Linked DNA regions of Pelodiscus sinensis. The main gene of each other region encodes a partner of the protein of the gene in region 2 in a complex. Links are inferred from orthologs where the notes say so. Each region holds a gene or a part of one and is shown on either strand. Other genes may lie near its edges.

Region 1 (10,197 bases), on a different chromosome or scaffold from region 2:
ACGGTGGTGCTGTTTGCCATGGAGCTTTGTGGTGGCGTGCTGGCTGGTTCTGGCTTTATTGAGGAGAAACTGGATAGGTTGATCAAGGTAGATGGGCCAAACTGGTTCATAATCTGCTGGGCTTTTGTCTTCAAATCATACAGTTTATCAAGGTCCTGCTTCTTTTTGGGGTTGTGAGGACCAAGACCAATCAGCTGAAGAAGGAAAGGAATGTCAAAGTTAAAAGTGGGGTAAAGATGTATATTTAGCAATTGGATCCCACTCCCTAAAAGGCAGCATCAAGAGAGGTTTGCAACTTAATCTGATATTTCTCACCATAGAGGGGAGGAAGGACAAGGGTGAAAAAAAGAAAAGATTTAAAAAACATATTAAAAACAAAACTTTAATGGAAGGCATTACGGTTGCACAGAGTTCACTGAATAGAGAACTGATGAGGAATATAAAGTCTGAGCCAGCCGGATAACATCCTAAGAACATTGCATTCCTTTTTCCAGTCCGACACCAAAATTCCATCAGTGACTGAATCCTACAGACAAGAAAAAGGTTTTTTCCCTCTTCTCTTACTTGTGCCTCTTTGGTGGCAGCGTTAGGCCTCCACACTTACTTCTAACTGGCAGATCAATGACATCACCTCCTGAGGTCTAGCTTAGGAACGGTCTTTTTGTTCTGTGTTTGTACAGTGCCTAGCACAAAGGGACCTGGTCTAGAACTGGAGTATGTAGGTCCTAATAATACAAAGACTGCATTTTTACATTTCAGACATCTTGGGAAGAGGGAAAAGCGGAGTACAATTCCTCATGTAGCTGCACTGTCTACAGCCAGGTACAGAACAGGAAGGCACTGTTCTAGCATTTGCCACACAACACCAACAAGGCATTTCAAGTCTCACCAGTAATTATTCCCAAACCAAGATATTTCCAGTAGTATGACAGTTTGTAATGAGAATATATTGAAGATTGGCCTAAGCCCTGAAATTCAATTTCACCTATAGACCTTGTCAGCATTAAGTCAGGCCTCCAAAAGTGACAGGACAGTAGAAAATCCACCTCTGCCTCAAATTCCTTTGATTTATATATCTGATTCCTCATTTCAATTCAGGTTTTCAGCTGCACAATATGGAATTTGGTAGACTGTCAAGCAAAGGCCTGGATTTACTAATTTCATATACCTAACAGCCTGCTCTTTCCAGATTAGCAATAAGGTTCTTGGACTAACTCATGTCATAGGCCACTAGACACTTTGATTACTTTTGGACTGAATTAGAACTGGCAACCTAGATTAGTAATTAGGCTCAGACTACTAGCATACTACTTACCCTTAACCCACCACTTTGGACTTTCTTGTAGTCAAATCTGTGGCCCACAACTCCATAATACATGTTGAACCTCTCTAGTCCAGCACCCTCTGGACCTGACCAGTGCCAAACCAGAGAATTTGCCAAACCATGGGAGATCAATATTGTCTAGCAGCATTACCAACACTTCCACTGGTTACTGGGCTCTTAGAAGATATTTGGGGGTAAATTAGAGCTAAACAACAGCATAGAACACTGACAGCCAGGACTGGTGGCTGTAAAAAAAAAAAAAAAGTATGAATTGTGGGAAACTTGTCCACACCCATAAGTGGACATTCGGCTAACTAAAATCATGTTAGACCATGGATGTTGTTGTACCAGAGTGCCAGCCTACAGAGGTTCAACCTTTAGCACTGCTCTCTTCAAACCTGTGTTCTTCAATTATCACCCAAAATGGTCAAGGAAAACTGCAGTGATTAGAATATACAAATATTTATTAAATTGCTTGAATTAAGAGGTTTCACATGCTTTTACAAGTCTTTCATCATTCTATCTCAGTTCAATGAATGGAGTTGTCAATGGTAGCTGAAATTTTGCTACTACTTCAAACCAAAAAGTAGGTTGTTACATAGAAAATGCATCTCACTATTTTAAATCACATACATTAAGCTGTGAAATGATTTAAGTGGAAACTTTAATAACAGTCTGTATTAACTCTGAAAAATCTTATTGCCTACATAATTGAGACAACTGCATTTTCTGTTTTGGAACATAAAATGGATGTTATGACAATTTTTGTATTTCTGACTTTTGTTTTAAGCAATTTATTTTCCATAATTAGATTTTGGGGTCTCAAATACTCTTTACTGCAGTTTTCCTTAAACTTTTCTACAAAACAGCACTCTTTGGAAATTTCTTTGTTCACAGTGACACAAATGATGCAAGCTGAAAACTAGCTACAGGTACCAGGAAAAAAAAAAACACACAGAACATTTACATAAAAACCAAGGGAAATAATATTTTCTACTTTTTTGTAGAAAACGTGATTTTCCCCTATAACAGCATTTGATTTTTTGTTAGTTTGTAATAATTCACACAGAAAAGTCACTCTTGAAAAATAATCACACAAGAATGCTTAAGACAGTGGATATTTAGTGTTTCATTCCAATGCTCAAAGTCATGCACTGCTGCAAACATATTACATACATTTTTCTTTTTAAAAAGAAATATAAATGCAAGTAACTTCACGTAGCTCTGATAGCAATTTTAGCCCAATGTGAACAGATCTGAAAATGATGAAAAGTCTCTACATTCATGCCTTGGGATGTTCTTCAGTCATACAGAGCCCTGTAAGCTCTTAGTTGGCAACTCTGGAGCGAGGTCCTGTTTTCTGGAGCATAGCTCAAGAAGCAGAAGAGAGGACTCCAGTGTACTATTCTTACTTTTGCCACTAGCTTGCTGATGATCTTGGGCCAGTCACTTAACCCTGTGCACTTCAGTTTACAAAACCACAAAGTAGGAAATCTTACCTACCATGGAGGCATCAGAAGATGATGCGTGAAATGCTTTGAAATCCTTGGGCAAAAAGCACTATATTAATGCAGAGTAATGTTTACTCTCACTTCTAATTTTAACCTTTGGGTATAATCAAGGCATCAGAAAACAAAGCAAATGTGGATGCACAGGTTTTAACCTCAAGTTCTACATGCCAATTCATGGCAAGCTCAAGCAATTTACTTACAGCTATCTGAGTATCTAGTTCTTTAATTACATCAGCAACTGCTGTGGGCCCAGCGAATGGAGAGGCCATTTTCCAAAAGCTCCCTGTAAGCAAATAGCCAGTGTTAACCTTGACTTCCCTCCTCCTGTTCTACATACTTCTCATTCTCATGACACCAGCTATTTTGCATGTCACCTACCTTATCAAATGCAAATCAAAATGAAACAAATTTCAGCAAACAGTACTCACCACAACACAAGCATCTTTTGTCCTTATTAAAATGATCAAATGCAATTTTCTGGGCATTGAATACAAAGCTTTACTTTAAACAGCAATCGTGAACCTAATATTTCTTGTCTTCTCAAATGGCAAGTTATTCTCAGGATCCTCAAGGGAGAAGCTTATACTTATGTCAAATCTTCATTTTTAGATACAGGGCTAGTGGGTATTGGAGTAGAGAGCAGCTGAGTACAGATTTTTGAAACAGTAGCCTTCCTTCACATCAGGACTAGGCCCCATGGCATGTACTAATGCCACTGGTCCCTGACTAATAGGTACTGCAACTGACTAAATAGCATTATCACACCAATATGCTAAATGCAACATTACTTATCTACAGCAACAAGACAACTTGAGGAATCGTTCATCAGAGTGCTTGCAGCTTCTAATTCCAGGAAGAAAAGATATTTAGCAAAGAAATCTCTACACAGAATTTAAAAGTAATCTGCAAAGGATCTTTTAAAGTATTTGTTTTGGCTTCTTTAATCACGTAAAAAGACAGACTGAAAGTTTTCTTTACAGCTTTTTAATTTAGAAAAATCTCAGACGTTTGAACATCCCTTGTTTTGTCAGAGGACCTCTTTGGAAGTGGTGGATCTCCCAGGAGAGGTACCTTGCAGGTTCGTGTACATGAAGTGTGGTGGCAGGATTGGCTGACTCTAGGGATGTTAAAATGCGTGTAAGTAACTGTAGCGGCTGAAAACATTTCCGCAGTTACACGCGGGGCACCACGGCTCCCACCTGCCCACCCCCGCCGCTGCCTCTTCTACAGAGGCCTATCTGGTGACGGCCCAACCGCTACCCCTGCCTCCGGGAGCGCGGGCAGCCCTGAGCCTCCTGCCCCGGCGCGGGGCGGGGGGGAGCCCTTAACCCCGCGAGCAGCCTCGTCCCCCGCCGAGGGACGGGCCCGCACTCACCGGTGCCCCCCTGCTATCGCCCCATGTTCCGCGGGCGGACCCCCCCCGCCTCAACCGCCGCTGCTACAGCGCTGCTGCCGGCTCTGCGCCACTCGCCGCCTGCGGGAGCGTCCTTCCGGTGCCGCCCGGAAACACTCACCGCCGCGGCCAACCAGCGCCTCCCCGGCACAGCGGGACAGGAAACGACACATGCGCACTCCGAGCAAATCCAGCCCAGAAGGCGCGTGCGTGACCTCCGACATCCCGAGAGGGCACCGGCGCCAGTTTCCCGTCATAGACTGCGCATGCCCCACAGCCGCTGGCGTGTTCCTATGGCAACCCTTCAGCCTCCCCATGTGACCTCGGGCAGCCCCCTCCCCCAAACAGCGAGGCTCCCCCACCGCGATTCAGCGCGGTCCCCACGGCCGGGCGGGGCCGGTAGCAGCCAGTGGGCCCCGCAGGGAGCCGGGACATGATCCATGTGGAGCGCCTGGCCCCGGGGGTCCTAGTCTGCGGCTGCCCCGCCTGAGGTGTGAAGGGAGGGGCCCGAGGTACGGTCAGACCTGGTCTCAATTCGGTTTCAGTTCGGATGGGGAGGGGGTCGGCGCTGGGAGACGGTTGGCAGAAAGGTGGGGGGGGGGGCGGGGAGAGCCGTGCAGGGCCGTGTGGTCCCCCCCCCCTCCCCAACTAGGGCACTGACTGTGAAGAAGGGCGCCAGAGAGGGAGTGGAGGGAAGGAAAAAGGAGCGAGCCAGTGAATAGAGCCAGTGAATAGAGCAATGGGGAAAAGACCCAGAGCAAGGGAGAGGCTGAGGGCAGCCAAAGAAAAGTGCTACAGATAGAGCCACGCAGCAGGCTGTTCCCCAGCTCCACACCCTTACATCTGGGTGAGCAGGCTTTCTCAGGGTGGGGGAGTATAGCTCAGTGGGAGAGCATTTGACTGCAGATCAAGTGGTCCCTGGTTCAAATCCAGGTGCCCCCTTTAAAGTGTTCCCTTTTCCAGCCCTCCAGTTTCTCCTTCATGCCCCTCACCTGGGGTTTGGCGGAAGCTTTTTACCTTGTCTTGAGCTGCAGCAAGACTCCTCCTCCCCCTCACTCCGGCCCCGCCCCTCCTCCGGCTCCTCTCTGCGTCATCTATGGTGAAATCCCAACATGCCATGCGGCTTATTTGCATCTCATGCCTGCTGTGGTGCGCGTATTTTAAGGATTAATGAGTGACGCACAGTAACATACATGCAAGAGACGTGGCGGGCCTAAACGGGGTGCTTGTGCGATATAATGTCACGGTCCCTCAGGGGAGCCGAACCAGCATCTCCCTGTAACTTTCAAGTCTGACACACAGACTGGGGAGGCGGAGCCGCCAGCGACTCGTTAAAAAGGGCTTCTGTCATGTATGACACATGGAGTGGGGTGGCTGCGGCTTTCCTTACTTCGTGCGGAATCGACATCAAGAGATTTCGGAAGCACAATTTTTGTTCCTGGGGCTGCTGGTAATCGTTGGTTCCGGCGCCCCGAAGTTGTCTGTTAAAATTAGAGTTAGTTTGTCTGTTGTGCGTACTGCGGGAGCGATCTTTTCTGCTTTTGCTATTTCTTTGGGGTCTGCTCGCTAATATATGTGAGTAGTTTGTAAGGGAAGGTATTGTCGGGAACCCTGTATTTCACAAAAGCCTCTTTAAATTCTCGCTCGGCTATACCCGCTTTTCATTTTTGCCCTTTCCACGAACTTTCGCGCGTGCGTGGGAGACACATATTTGAAATACTTAGTAAAAGGTAGTGACTACGTTCCTAGTTCAGAAACTATTTTTACTTCAAATAAAAATATAGTTGTCCCCTTTGCTTTAAAACCTGTTGTGATTTTCCAGACAGGAAGTACATTCATCCTATGGCATTTCTTTGCTTTAGATAATTAACTACCTAGATCAGAATGTCTGTATGTTTCCTTCCCTGCTCTGTTTTTTTTGTGCGTGGCATTGCTGTTTGCTAAATGCTGACGGAGGCATTATTTATCCATTCCTGCAATTCAATTTTATTGAAGCATTACTTGGGGAGGGGGGAGGAGGATTTGTTATTAGATACATGCAGTTATTTTAACAGAGGGCCATTTAGCAGAGTGAAATTAAAGTTGGTTTCCCTGTCTGAGTTTAGTCCCTTTCAGATTTTCCCCTATCAAGGGTAAAAAACAGCTGTCCCACTCCCATAATTTTGCTGCCATCTGCAAAACACTCCCAGGAAATGATCTTTTGACTGGCACAGCATCTGAATCAAAGAGAGGGGGTCTAATGGGTTATCCAAAGATGCTGCTGAAATAATTCCTCTGGGGGCTTGGATTATTCTTGTCTTCCTTGATTAGGGCTGATCAGGGGTTCAGCTTGCCTCCCAGTGCAGATTAAATGCAGATCTCTTGCTGGGCACAGTACTATGTTTAATGCATTTGTTCACTGTTTCCATACTGTGTGGCTACGTCTACACCGGCATCCTTTTCCGGAAATGCTTAAAACGGAAGTTTTCCGTTATAAGTATTTCCGGAAAAAGCGCGTCTACATTGGCAGGATGCTTTTCCGGAAAAGCACTTTTTCCGGAAAAGCGTCCGTGCCAATGTAGATGCGCTTTTCCACAAAAAAGCCCCGATCGTCATTTTCGCAGAACAGTTTTCCGGAAAAGGACTTTTGCCCGAACGGGAGCAGCATAGTTTTTCCGGAAAAGCACTGATGATTTTACAGTAGATCATCAGTGCTTTTCCGGAAAAGCAAGGGGCCAGTGTAGACAGCTGGCAAGTTATTCCGGAAAAGCAGCCACTTTTCCGGAATAAGTGGCCAGTGTAGACACAGCCACTATGTAGCCACATGCACTGTTTGTGTCATTATTTGATAAATAAAAGGTATATAAATATGAGGATTAGATAGATAAAGATTGTTATGGGGACAGATAGCTAAGGGGGTGTACAGGGATGGATGGATAGATTCTATGAAGATTTTTATCTTTTAAATATGAATCTTAAAAATGTTAAAGTCTACATAGTTTAAACGGCAGAACTTTCAAATGACAGGACAAGCGCTAATCTTGTGTGCTGAGGGACTGCACTCAGAAAAGTAACCCAGTAGAAACATCCTGCTATGAGCAACTGTGCACTCCGGATAATGATGCTGAAGGCTCCTGTCAATGCATTGTTTGGAAAAGGGAAGTTTGTGTTAGAAATGCATAAACATTTCCCAGGAAATACTAGATTTGCTCTGCTTGCAAAACATTCACATTGTGAAATTCTCTGGGTACTTGGTTCTTTGACATTGTTTACAAATTTTTGCCATGATTGTCAATGGGATTTTTGCCATTGACTTCAGTGGAGACAGCATTATATCCTTGCAATTTTCAATTTGTTTATTTTTTGGGGGGAGTGAAGGGAGGGAGAGAGGACTGAAAAAACTGAATAGTTTTTCAGTCTTCAAAAACGTTCATTGTTCTGTTTTTTGTTATTTCCTCTCTGTCTTTCCCTTAATTCTCCCCTTTTTCACTAAGAAAAAAAGAAAGGAAGAACTCCCCGAAACTGAAAAATACAAAAAATGTTCAGGTTTTTGATAAAAACCTGAAAAAATGTGGCTGAAACAAAAACTTTAATTTTGGACAAAAACTGTTTTTTTTTTCCTTTTAAAATACTCATAGGCTGTGTCTAGATTGGCAAGCTTTTCTGCAAACTTGCCAGCTGTCTACACTGGCCGCTTGAATTTCCGCAAGAATACTGACAATCATGTAAGAAATCAGTGTTTCTTGCGGAAATACTATGTTGCTCCCATTCGGGCAAAAGTCCTTTTGCGCAAAAGCTTTGTGCAAAAGGGCCAGTGTAGACAGTTGAGATTTGTTTTGCACAAAAAAGCCCCGATCGCGAAAAGTGCTTTTGCTGAAAAGTGTTCGTGCCAATCTAGATGCTCTTTTCCGCAAATGCTTTTAATGGAAAACTTTTCTGTTAAAAGCATTTGTGGAAAATCATGCCAGTCTAGACGTAGCCATAGACAGTATTTTCCCTGCTGGTGCAAATAATTTTTATTGCACAGATGTTAGGGGAAAATGATTACACTGCCTACAGTAACCCACGTCCACAGGCTTTGAGCAGGAGCGCTAGGAAGAAAGTCATTGTAACCAAGCGCATGGATCCTGAAGCCCAGCACATTTTGTAGCCAAGAGGGAGGAGCTGTAAGCTGGCTGCTGCCTCTCGCCTTTCTGTCTTCCTTGGGGGAAGTAACGGAGGCTCAGCTGGTTAAGAGGCCAAGTAAAGGTCTAGGCATTGGGAGGTTTGTGATTTCTTTGAGAGGCAATGTTAGGCCAGAGGAATGAAGACAGAAGAGAGGAGCAGCTGAGTTCTAAACCCATTGCTACCTGTGAGTGACTGTGGGAAATTCACTTTGCCTCCTCGTGACTCGTTTTCCCCACACGTAAAATGGGAATAATGATTCCTAGCTTCCTCCCAGGAGTATTGAAAAGATTAATGAATGAACAGCCATGTACCATACAATGAAAAGCCCATAGATTAATCCCATCAGAACTTCATGGCTTGCCCACAGGAAGCCATTTGTGTCTGTGACAAATAGCATAGTAGGGTAAAAGGCAAAAACTCACTGGAAAACAGAACTGGATGCAACCCGTCACAGGGGAGGAGAAGATAGAAAAAAACCTAACGCTTAATTAATCATAGAATCCTAGGACTGGAAGAGACCAGCCCTCTGCCCAAAGCTCCCTGCCCAAAGCAGGACCAACCCCAACTAAATCATCCCAGCCAGGGCTTTGTCAAGCCGGGACTTAAAAACCTCTAGGGATGGAGATTCCACCCCCTCCCTAGGGAACCCATTCCGGTACTTCACCATGCTCCTAGGTTTCTCCTAATATCTAACCTAGACCTCCCTCACTGTAACTTGAGACCATTGCTCCTTGTTCTGTCACCACTGAGAACACTCTCCAGCCTCTTTAGAAACTCCCTTCAGGGAGTTGAAGGCTGCTATCAAATCCCCCCTCACTCTTCTCTTCTGCTACTAAATAAGCCCAAATCCCTCAGCCTCTCCTCGTAGGCCATTCACAGCAGATACTCCACTGGTGTGAAGCTCCACTGAGCAATGCTGATTTCCATCAGCCAAGGATATGGCCCATTCGTCTTCCAGAAGGACTGGAGCTGGGCAGTTAGATGAGTGGGGTTTTTATTTGGAATCAGTCAATTGCTATCTGGGGAGATCCAGCTACTGTGACCCCAGTGACCCCCAGTTCCTCAGGTACTGTGACCCCCCAGTGAAGCTGATGCACCATGAGGCCTCTGGAACAGCATCCCCAAAACCTGGGGAGCTGCAAAACTGAAGCACTGTAGTCAGTGGGTGTCTTTTGTTGATTTCAATGGAAGATAAATCAGGGCCTTACTGCACATCCCCAGTGGTCTGCTTTCTGACGCCAAGGCCGCATCTAGACTGGCATGATTTTGCACAAATACTTTTAACGGAAAAGTTTTTCTGTTAAAAGTATTTGCGCAAGAGAGCGTCTGTACTGGCATGTGCCATTGCACAAAAGATTTGCTTTTGCGCAAAAGCATCTGTGCCAGTGTAGACGCTCTCTTGTGCAAGAAAGCTCCGATGGCCATTTTAGCCATCGGGCTTTCTTGCGCAAGAAATTAACGTGGCTGTCTACACTGGCCCTCTTGCGCAAGAATACTTGTGCAAGTGGGCTTATCCCTGAGCGGGAGCGTTGGACTATTTGCACAAGAAGCACTGATTTTGTACATTACAAAGTCAGTGTTCTTGTGCAAATACTCGCGGCCAGTGTAGACACAGCCCAAGAGGGTGAAAGGTTTAACACGATCACAATGCTGCAGGGAAGGTGACTGTTTCAGTGAAAACAAACAAGGTAGGTAGACTTGGGATTGGGATGGGTTTTCAAACACCACAAAGGGGCCTTGGTACTGAACTTGAAAAGAGTTGCTCACACACGAAGTCACTTGGGCTATGTCTACACTGGCAGGTTCTTGCGCAAGAACATCTT
Region 2 (10,437 bases):
ATAAAACATGCGAGGATCTGAGTTTAAGGGCCTTTGGATCCAGTGATACAAAGTTCAGTTCTATGAGCTCATGCCTTTAAAAGAATTGCTAATTTCTGTGATCCACTGGAGTAACCACTCTCTAGTGAAAGGGTCTATGACCTAAAATGGCATAATTGGAACTCTGCCAAAACAAGCAATTCCTCACACTTAATATGAATTCCTACCATGACATGTTTTGCCTGTTGCTAATAGAGTACAGGCAGTCCCCGGGTTACATGGATCCGACTTACATCGGATCCCTACTTACAAACGGGGTGAGGCAACCCCGCACTAGCTGCTTCCCCTCAGCAGACCAGGGAGACGCGAAGCTAGCGCTCCCCCCCAGCAGACTAGGGAGACACGGAGCGGCTTTTCTCAGCAGACACCTCAGCTTGAGAATAAAGGATTGAGGGAAATGTGGTGTGGGAGAATAAAACTGAGCTCTGGAGAAATGTTTGGCTAGAGTTTCCCCTACAATATGTACCCGTTCCGACTTACATACAAATTCAACTTAAGAACAAACCTACAGTCCCTATCTTGTACGTAACCCAGGGACTGCCTGTATACAATCCCTGAGCACAGTTGCAACCTTGAGATTTCATATGAGATGCAATCAGACACACAGGTTATTCAGGCTCTCTTTTGGATTGTGGGAAATTTAGGCTTATCTGTTGGACTGACTCATTGCTCTCCAAACCTGCACAGACACAAACAGCACTGTGGGGGTGTTGCATTTAAATCAAAATAGGAAGGAAACAATTTTATAATCTTCTGTCACAGTTTTGCAGTGACATCACTCAAAAGGAACACTTTTGACTCCAGGAGAGGAATAGTTAAGTATTTTCTAAAGGTAGAAGAGGAGAAAACAGAAAAGACTTGCAAGAAAAGGCAGGTTAACGTGGACTCTCTGTTGTTTTGTAGGCCCTAGATTTAATTATTCAAAGATCCCCCGCAAGAGGGCATATGCCATGCTGCAGATGTCTGGGGCAAAAGCCACATTGTTTCATGCTTTTACACTCTGAAGTGCATTCTTGTCAAAATTCAGATTAGTCTTTCTAGAAACAAATCATCATTATGCTAGCTTCAAATTCTTGGTGTTTTGGTCTGTCAACGTCTTTCCTACCAACCTTCTAATGGCTTCTGTTTCTTTTCTGAGCGTCCATGCCTTCGTTGGAGCCGGCGATGCAACTGTATTCAGAAATGTAAACGGCAAGAAAGAGAAAGCACAGACATCCCAAATTCTGTATCATCTTAAGGACGTGTCATGGTGGGTCACAAAAAGGGAACCACAGAGTTTTTTAAATGTAGTTCAGTAACAATTATTTCATTTAACAATACAGATCTCCTTCAACCCTTAGGCAAAGATCAGTTCACATTTAAAAAAAAAGAAGCTGTTATCCACTTGGTATGGCAGGGGAGGGAGGAGGGAGACTTCTAATGCTGTTCCCGCCCCCCAGCAAAATCTCTTACCTCTCATTGGCCAATCTCTCAGTTTTGGGCCAATATGAGCTGAGAATTTTTGTGGGAGCAGAGGCAGTGTAGGAAGCCTTCTCCCTTCCTCCTCATCCATCCTTCTTCCCCTTTCCCTTCCCTCTCATGCCCACAGCAGAGCCATGTGGAGCTGCAAGCAGCCTGCAGCTGTCAGTCTGCCTTAGGTTTCTGCTGGTAAATGCCTCCTAGCAGAGCCTGCCTCTGGCACCCTAGCCCCTCCCTTCTCCAACCCTCTGCCCCCCCCTACTCAAACCCTTTGCCCCTACTGTACCTATACCCCCTCCCAGATCTGGCACCCCAGTCTCCTGTCTCAGATCACAATCCCCTCCTAGCCTAGGTCACATCCCAAAATCCTGCATCCCAGTCCCGTCTTCTTCACCCAAACTCCCTCTGAGACCCCATTCTCCCTGCTGCACCCCAATCCCGTATCCAAAGCTCCCTTCTGTACTCAACCTCCATCCCAGACCCCTCACCTCCTCCATTAATATTCTGGAAAAGTATGGCCTTCAATCACATTCCAAAAATCTTGGAATGGTCCCCCGTCAAAAATTATTGACCACCCCTGTTGTATGTTCACAGATGAATGGCTGAAGGCAACATTTGAAGCCTGCAAAAGAGAACACACTTCATTTCAAAATCTTGTGTAAATAATTAAATGCCAAAGATCTGCAAAAAATGAATAAAAGTGGCCTTCTAGCCTAATTGCGAAAAGAACACTTCCTCTAAGCAATCTAGATTCTGTCTTTCTAAATCAGCATCACCCATCCTCCATGGGGACATACAAAATTTCAGACAAAATTAACATCACAATAGGCATAAAAACATGTCACATTTGAATAGCGACAATAACTTTTTTTTAGGAAGTTTTGGTTGTTTGGAAGAGGCAATTGCTACTAGCTACAATACCAATCTTACAGAAAATAGGTGGACACCTCTGCAGAGCTTACTGCATGACCAGAACATAACAATATATTTGAAAGCATGAAATATTATTTAGAATAATCAGTGCATACATATGTGTATATAAAAATCTGTACAAATTTGCCTTAATCTCCGCGAGACCTTCGGACATCAGATGCAGTCATAATAAATAAAAATGTATTTGACTGACCCAGAAGAGCGATGCTGCAGTAAACACGCCCAAAGTGATCCTGGTGTTACGCCACTAGAATATTACTGTGCTACAGGGGATAAATTATGAAATTTCTGGCACATGTGTAACCATATTCTACAGGGAGTCTCAGCTGTGTCATTTCTAAATCCCAGGTCTTTCTGCAAAACAAGATTCACTGACTCCATTCAAATCCCTCTCAGTGCCCCCAATAGCCCCCTCCACAACACAGATAACATAGTTGTCAAGTGAGTACAAGATGACCAGAATGTAACAAACACAGCATTAGGAAGCAGTCAGGGAAAGATCACAAAGGCTCTAGACTGCAGATGGATGGGAACGGTGCAGGGAGGAACCTGGGAATTCATCAATTTAGGAAGCTTATTTATGGACTACTACAGAAAGTGGAGATTAAACTCCTCCATTGTATATTTCCACTGAATTTAGCAGTGTCACACCATGAAAGATTTTGTTCCAGAGAACAGAGGTTAGTCATAAATGTATTTGTATTATACAAACTGTATTATATAACTAGGAAAATGAACTATAAATGCATTGAAAAACATTTGGGAAAGTTCTGGAACTGACAGGAGTTTTATTATACATGATGTGGAATTTCCAAATTCCAAAAGGAATCAGTTTCAAACAGCAAATGCAATAAATTGTGCTGAGCAGAGAGCAGGACTAGAACTACTCACAATCTCTATTTCTCATCTTCATCTCAAACCTTTGGATCACTGCCTGCCACCTACATATCCACCTTCATGTCATCCTTATATCCTGTCTCATTCCTCACTCTTCTTCCTAGCCTATTCTCACTCTCCATCATGCACCTTCTTCTGTACCAAGACTCATAACTGTCATCCATGTCACCTTACTAGATCACTTATGAAAAGTCCTGGCAGAGTCTATCATGAAGGGGTGATGTACTGGTGTTTAGCATATTTGCAGGAACTGTGTGTTATTTTCAGCTAAACGGATAATAGAATGACTATTACCAATGGAAAACAGACGCCAGTCCATGGAAAACATTAATTACTTGTTATTCCACTGACACAAAGATACACAGGTTTTGGAAAGGATCATTGTTTTTTGGTTTGGAAGATTTCATTAAAACAAACATTTTCTTCTTACCAAAGTTTATGGGCTATCCTCTCCCCCTTTTGATATCTGAGCATCCATATCATTCTTTCTAGCACACATACTGCTTTGTGCATTCCTCTGACCCTTACAGCAACATAACATTCTGCAGAGATTAATGCTGCCTGTAATACGTAAGCCTTTATGATTTAGGGAAAAACCTCCCAAATGTTATTTAATCCAGCTCTATCTTCTAAAGTCTGTGATATACTTGCTCTCAGATATGTAAACTCATATTACTAGGAAGTCAAAAGGTGACAATATAAGTATCAGCTTACTTAATTAAGAGCCCTGTCTACATGAGAACTACATCAATGTAATTACATGGATGCAAACCCCTGCTGTAAGTGGTTATCATCAAGTTCCATTCATTACAATGGAAACAGGAGACTCATGTATGGTCATTTATGCTACAAATATAGACAGTTAAGTAAAGTGGTTGCAACAAAGCAGTACACAGATTCTAACCCAGATTCAAAATTGTGCCAACATGTAGTACAGATAGGATCTCATCCCTATTTTATAACATGGCTAAATAATGGCCATGTGTCACGTGTCTGCTGTTTTTACAGATTATTCCTCAGATAGATGTACTAGGAAGTAAAATTAGAGCTGAGAACCAGGCCAAACTAATTTATCTGCCAGACAGAATTAAGAGTAATTTAGTTGAGTGAATGCAGAATAAAAATTAAATAAAGGGCAAGCATTTAAATGTTTCACTTGTAACATGGATGTGACAAAGTGGGGGTTCCATTCGCTCTGTCCGCTTTATGTTGCATGTGATTTCTGTTGTCCTGCACTGTAGTAACTTTGTGTGTGGATCTGTTTCCCTGGGCATAGCACCAGTGCCAAATTGGAGATGGGAATTTTGGGTGTGACTCTCACTGAGGGGAGGCTGACCAGGCTAGCACGGTCACAATGGCCCAGGTTCACTGTAAGGTGAGCCTGGAAGGGAGATGCAAACAGGTGACACCTTAAGCTCAGGAAGCTGAACAAAGGAAGAAGTGGGGCTGCCTATAAAGCTGGGTCGGGCTGCGGAGTGAGTTAGTCTCCGCTGGCTTAAGATACAGAGGGAGGGCCCTGGCTCCAGGCCCCCCTTTTCCTCAAGGTGGATTGTACTGTCTGCTTTTGGTTCCTGTACTAACAAATATGTTTTACCTTGTATCCCTGAGAACTAATGAACCTTCTGTTCTACCTGCTGCCTGAGAGTCACACCTGGCTGCAGATGTGTGCAGGGACCCCCATGTTGCAAAAATAAATATAAACAATAGCCTTCAAATTAATATAAATTGAAGCTCTCCTGCCAATGAAGAGACCCAAGTAAATCTGAACTCTTTATGTATTGCCAAGGCTGCAGCACAGAGGGGGAGGGAGACTGGCCAGACCCCAGTTTCATTATTTAACAGTGCTAGCAAGGAGGAAACTATTTACCCATAATTATTATTCTGCAGCTTTGCAGGAACTACACGTTGCCAAAGTCCAGAGACGAACCTTGGTGCCTGCAGATGGTTTTCAGGCATACTTCTAAACACAGCCTAAAGGGTGCCTTGGTTTTACAAACAAAACAAAACAAAAAAGCAAAACAAACAAATCTTCACCACAATCAATGATGTCAAACTCCACAAGCCCCGTGCTGCCAACGGGGCGACTCCAACCCCACCACTCCTCCCCCCCCCCCACGGTGCGACCCCCAACCCCACCGCTCCTCCCCCCCCCCACGATGCGACCCCCAACCCCACCGCTCCTCCCCCCCCCACGATGCGACCCCCAACCCCACCGCTCCTCCCCCCCCACAGTGCAACCCCCAACCCCACCGCTCCTCCCCCCCCACAGTGCAACCCCCAACCCCACCGCTCCTCCCCCCCCACAGTACAACCCCCAACCCCACTGCTCCTCCCCCCCTCCTCTCGCAGTACGACCCCCCAACCCCACCGTTCCTCCCCCCCCAGTTCTCGCCTCACAGAGTGCGACCCCCAACCCCACCGCTCCTCCCCCCCTCCTCTCGCAGTACGACCCCCCAACCCCATCGCTCCTCCTCCCCCACGGTGCGACCCCCCCCAACTCCAGCCTCCCGCGGTGCGACCCCGCTGCCCCTTTTCACCGTTGCGAGCCCAACCCCGCCCCCTCTCACGCCAGCCCTCCCCTCACAGCCTCCGTGCCGAGGTCGACCCGCCCCCGGCTGCAGTGCCACACGCCACCGGCGACGTGACCCAAACGCGCGGCGTGAGGGCACGAGCCTCACACACCCCCCCCCCCGCCCGCCTCGTGAGCGCGCACGTACGCGTGCCCAGCCGCGCCGAGCCTGAGCACGTGGGGACGGCCGCTGGGACTGGAGCGGAGTCGGGCTCGGGGCCTGAGCGAAGCCGGCGTGAGGTGACGGGCTGGGGGCAAAGCGGGCCGCGAGCCCGGGAGAGACCATGCGGCGGCGGGGCGGGGTGGGAGGGGGTGAGAAGTAGGAAGATACCAAGTGAAGCGGAGAGGGGGGTGCGAGCTTAGGCAGGCGGTGGCTGCGCGCTCCCAGCCACCTCAGATGCGCGCTCTGGCGGGAGCGCGGCGCCTCCCCTGCTGTTCCGTTAGGGGGCACTGGGGTAAACCGCCGCCGCGTGGACTTCAGGGGCGGGGCTTGCTGGGGTGGGCGGGGCTTGGGCGGGGGAGGGGCGGGTCCCACAGGGAAGGGGGAGGGCAGTAGGGTCCCTACTGGTTCCTGGAGGAGGGGTTGGGAACAGTGGTCCCAGTAAGCCCGGGGTGGGGAACTTTTTTTTTGGGGGGGGGGGGGGGCACAGACCCATCAAAACATCAGTTGGGGGCCACACACAAAAGAGAAGCACAAAAAAACCCTCTTAGTGTCCTGGCCCCCTGAGGAGAAAAAAAACCCTCCCAGATGTAGCCCCCCCCCTCAGAATCAGGGGGAAAAAACTCCCCTCAAGCTTCAGCCCCATGGGGAGGCCCTAGGGCCAAATTAACTCCTCCAGAGCCTGGGGCTACTAGGGTTTGTTTGGCAGGGCCAAAAAGGAGGGGTTCAGTGTGCAGGAGGGGGCTGCCAGGAGCGGGCTGGGGGTAGGAGTTCGGGTTGTGGGCAGGAGGTAGGGTGCAGGTGTGGACTGGGGTTGAGGGAGTAGGGTCTGCAAGGGTGGAAGATGCAGGAGGAGGATGAAGATGCAGAGTCTGGAGGGGGGGTCTGGAAGAGAGGGGGTGCGTGGGGAGGGTCAGAAGAAGGAAATAAAGGTGATATGATGCACACGATCAGGAAGAACTCTCCCAGCATAAGAGGCAGCATGAAAGAAGTCTTGCAGGCTTAGTCATCTCAGTGAGCCACAAGATTGTTGTAACCAAGACGATTTCGTGGGGTAGGGTAGTTTTGCTAACTGTGCTTCCCTATCTAGCATTTGCAGGGGCGCCGATTGAACTGTAGCAGCATTTCGATCGGAGGCAGAGGACATGCACGACTGTCACAGTCAATGTAGTGTGCACTCTAGAGATGTTAAATTGCGGTTAATTGACTAGTCGAGTGGTTGATGGAATTTCCATCGACTACTCGATAGGCACTTCTGCATTCCTCCTTTGAAATGCACAAGAGCCCTGTTGGGGTTTTTGTGCATTTCAAAGGAGGAATGCAGAACTCCGCCTGCAGCCGGGGCCAGTGGGAAGTCCCACTGACTCTGGGCTCCACACTGGCGTGTCTGCTTTGAAATGTACAAGAGTCCGCAGCAGGGACTCTTGTGCATTTCAAAGCCATGGAGCCCAGGGTCAGCGTGGGACTCTCCAGCTGACCTCAGGTTCCATGCAGAATTACAGTGGAACCCAGATCAGCTGGGGAGTCCCCAGCTGACCCCGGGCTCCTTGGCAGCTGCCCCTTTGAAATGCCAGAGGTGGTGTTTTAAAGGGGCAGCCCCCTTTGAAATGCCTCCTTGGAGTACCTCTTCTTTGAAGTACCCCTTCTCCCCCCCCCTTTACTGACTCTGATAGAGGCAGCAAAGCAGGAGGAATTGACTAGTTGACTGACTATCTGATAAGCATTTGCTTATCGGAAGGTCGACTAGTCTTTAACATCCCTAGTGCAATCAGCGCTCACATCATTCCATGTGTCCTTGCTTTACAACAGGGATGGTGAACCTAAGGCCCAGGGGCCAAATGCAGTCCCCCAGCTTGCCTAGATCTGGCCCCCAGGGGCTCGGGGCTCCTCCCCTCCCCCATTGGGAAGACTGCACTGGCATTCCAGACCCCCACTGCCTCCCACCTGACTGATTTTTATGTGGGTCAGCAGCCCCCGCCCCAAAAAGGTTCTCCACCCTTGCTTTACAAGCATGCCACTTTAGTAATATGCGGATTGAACCCAGCAGAATCTGGCAACCCTGTGCAAGGGCAATAATAAACTAAATGTCTCGTGGGCCACACAAGAACCCTGAAGGGGAGCATGCAGCCTACTACTGTTCTAGACGAAAGTAGTGTTTCTCAGGGAGTGATCTGTGGTGCTGGCTCCCTGAGATCTCCCTGACACAGTTTAGGAAGGCAGAGGCCAGGTATCAAAAAGATTAAGAAACACTGGACTAGAGTACACTCTTTGTCTTTCCTATGCTTGCATATAGTTGAAAGGGTCTTTATCCCATACCTAATTTTAGTAGCTGTTTATTCTAGCATACATATCTATTGCAGTCCTCCATTTAGTTTTTTGTTTGTTTGTTACTACTGCTACATTTTAAATGTTTCACAAGAGTGAAATTTATATTATTAAAGCAGTGGTCCCCAACCTTTAGAGGCTCCCAGCCCCGGGGGCGGGGCAACTCACGCGCCGGGCGCCCGGGGGCAGGACCGCGCGTCCGGGAGCACGCCAGGCGACTGGGATGCCCTTGCACCCGGCACCGGCATGTGCTCTAGGGCCGGGGCTGGGGCCGCCCGAGCCGCGCGCCTGGGGCTGGCACCGGCGCCGCTCGAGCGCCGCGTGCCCAAGCGCCTGCATATGCCCCGGGGCTGGGGCCGCCCGAGTGCCGCGAACCCGGTGCCGGTGCATGTCGAGCGCCTGGGGCCGGCGCCACCCGTGCGCCGCGGGCGGGGCTGGCCCAGGTTGTCGGCGGGCGCACACAAATGCCCCGGTGGGCATCATGGCGCCCACGGGCACCGTGTTGGGGACCACTGTATTAAAGGATCTTGGGTGGGAATCAATTTTGATTAAAATAGATTCAAGTAACAAGTTTCTAACAAAATTCTATCTTACTTTGGGGAGGTCTGAGTTTTACTGCTGTCCTGCTTCCTGCTGGAAACTTTGCTGTAGTCTTTGGATCACATTTCAGATCTGCATCAGGACTCTGGGCTCTGCTCTGAGGTTTATAACTGGTTTGCTCTGTGATCTTGAGCAAGTTACTTCTCCTCCTTGTTCTTAGTTTCCTTATCAATAAATTGGAGCTGCTACTTACCTCTCTAAAATAATTCCTTGTGGGTGCACCATTTAATGTTTGTAAAGCACTTGGATCCTTGAATTAAATTACTTATTTTCTTTTTTGACAGGAATATAGTTGCCCTGGGACTGTTGCATGAGAAGGGGAGAATATACAGCCAGCCAACTCACAACTCTCAAAAGCAGTTATCGGTTCTATAAAGTCCACTATCTTAGCTGTGATGAGCATGTTCCTAAAGGAAACTTTCCCTACTCCATGAAGGACATTTCTGTTCTCAATTCTCAGGGCTGCAGTGACCCTTTTATTAATCAAATTAAGCAGTAAGGAAGAGTCCAAATCTGCCTCTGACAAATATATAAAATCATAAAGGCACAGCTCATGGTTCTGCAGAGCTAATGAAGAACATCTTGTAACAAAGTTTTCAAGATTCATGATGATACAGTTACTTGACAATCACCACTTTTTTGGGGGTCACATCAATCTTTTATTCAGATAAGTTATGATCCTGGAGTTCCAGATTTCTTAATACTATGAATTGTGTCTTTCGGTTTTTGGTTTCGTGTCTCAACTGCAGAGAACAGACTTTCAGTCATGTCAAATGGTCCCTGTTGCATTATGACCGCTCATTTGCATGAGTAGTTGGTGTAGTCTCAGAAGAGCTTATCTGTTCAAAGGGTTGCACAACAGCCTACTCTCTTTCAGTTGGATGGTACCTTGATAGATACATTGGTAATTGTTGATCTTATACTGAGGAGCCTTGTACAAGGAGAGGTGCTTATATTGCTGTCCTGAAGAAGAACACCAGAGTGTGAGGAGGATGGAGCGCCTGGCCTCCTTCAGCAGTAAGTACCATAACCAGAACTTCACAGAGAGGTCTAAAAACCTCTGTCCTAGGTATGTCTCCACTTTCTGAAAGATCTATGCTCTGTCAATCGATCTTCTGGAGTTCAATTTAGCAGGTCTAGTAAAGACACACTAAATTGAATGCTGAGGGCACCTTCAGGTACTCCTACTCCTCACGAGGAGTAAGGTAAGTCAATTGGAGTTTTTCTCCTGTTGACCTCCCACTGTGTGGTCTCCCCAGAAAAATCAATGTAAGGGACGTCAACTCCAGTTACACAATTCACGTAGCTGGAGTTGTGTACCTTGCATCAGTTTTTCTCTGCCAGTGTGGATCTGGGCCTAGTTTGAAGGCTTTATCTTCCAATGAGGGTTGCTGGGAACTAGGGCATTTTGATCCATGTGATTGTTTTGGCCCCTGAATTGTCATAAGAATTTGAT

What was found. Proteins that work in one complex are often made in the same cells at the same time.
Region 1: TADA2A (region 2) and TAF12 share a complex: the UniProt entries of both Homo sapiens proteins name them as parts of the PCAF complex. The link is inferred for Pelodiscus sinensis from reciprocal best matches to the Homo sapiens genes TADA2A and TAF12.

Annotation. Positions count from the first base shown.
Region 1 is NC_134735.1:13,924,779-13,934,975, reverse strand, and holds the start of TAF12 (transcription initiation factor TFIID subunit 12), read right to left. Parts: upstream 4,326-10,197; 5' UTR 4,211-4,325; intron 3,119-4,210; 5' UTR 3,105-3,118; coding exon 3,036-3,104; intron 195-3,035; coding exon 1-194. UniProt on the Homo sapiens protein: The TFIID basal transcription factor complex plays a major role in the initiation of RNA polymerase II (Pol II)-dependent transcription.
Region 2 is NC_134731.1:8,815,363-8,825,799, forward strand, and holds the start of TADA2A (transcriptional adapter 2-alpha), read left to right. Parts: upstream 1-5,980; 5' UTR 5,981-6,136; intron 6,137-9,265; 5' UTR 9,266-9,973; coding exon 9,974-9,998; intron 9,999-10,437. Other genes in the region: C21H17orf78 (uncharacterized protein C17orf78 homolog), read left to right, coding at 1,178-1,276. UniProt on the Homo sapiens protein: Component of the ATAC complex, a complex with histone acetyltransferase activity on histones H3 and H4. Required for the function of some acidic activation domains, which activate transcription from a distant site. Binds double-stranded DNA.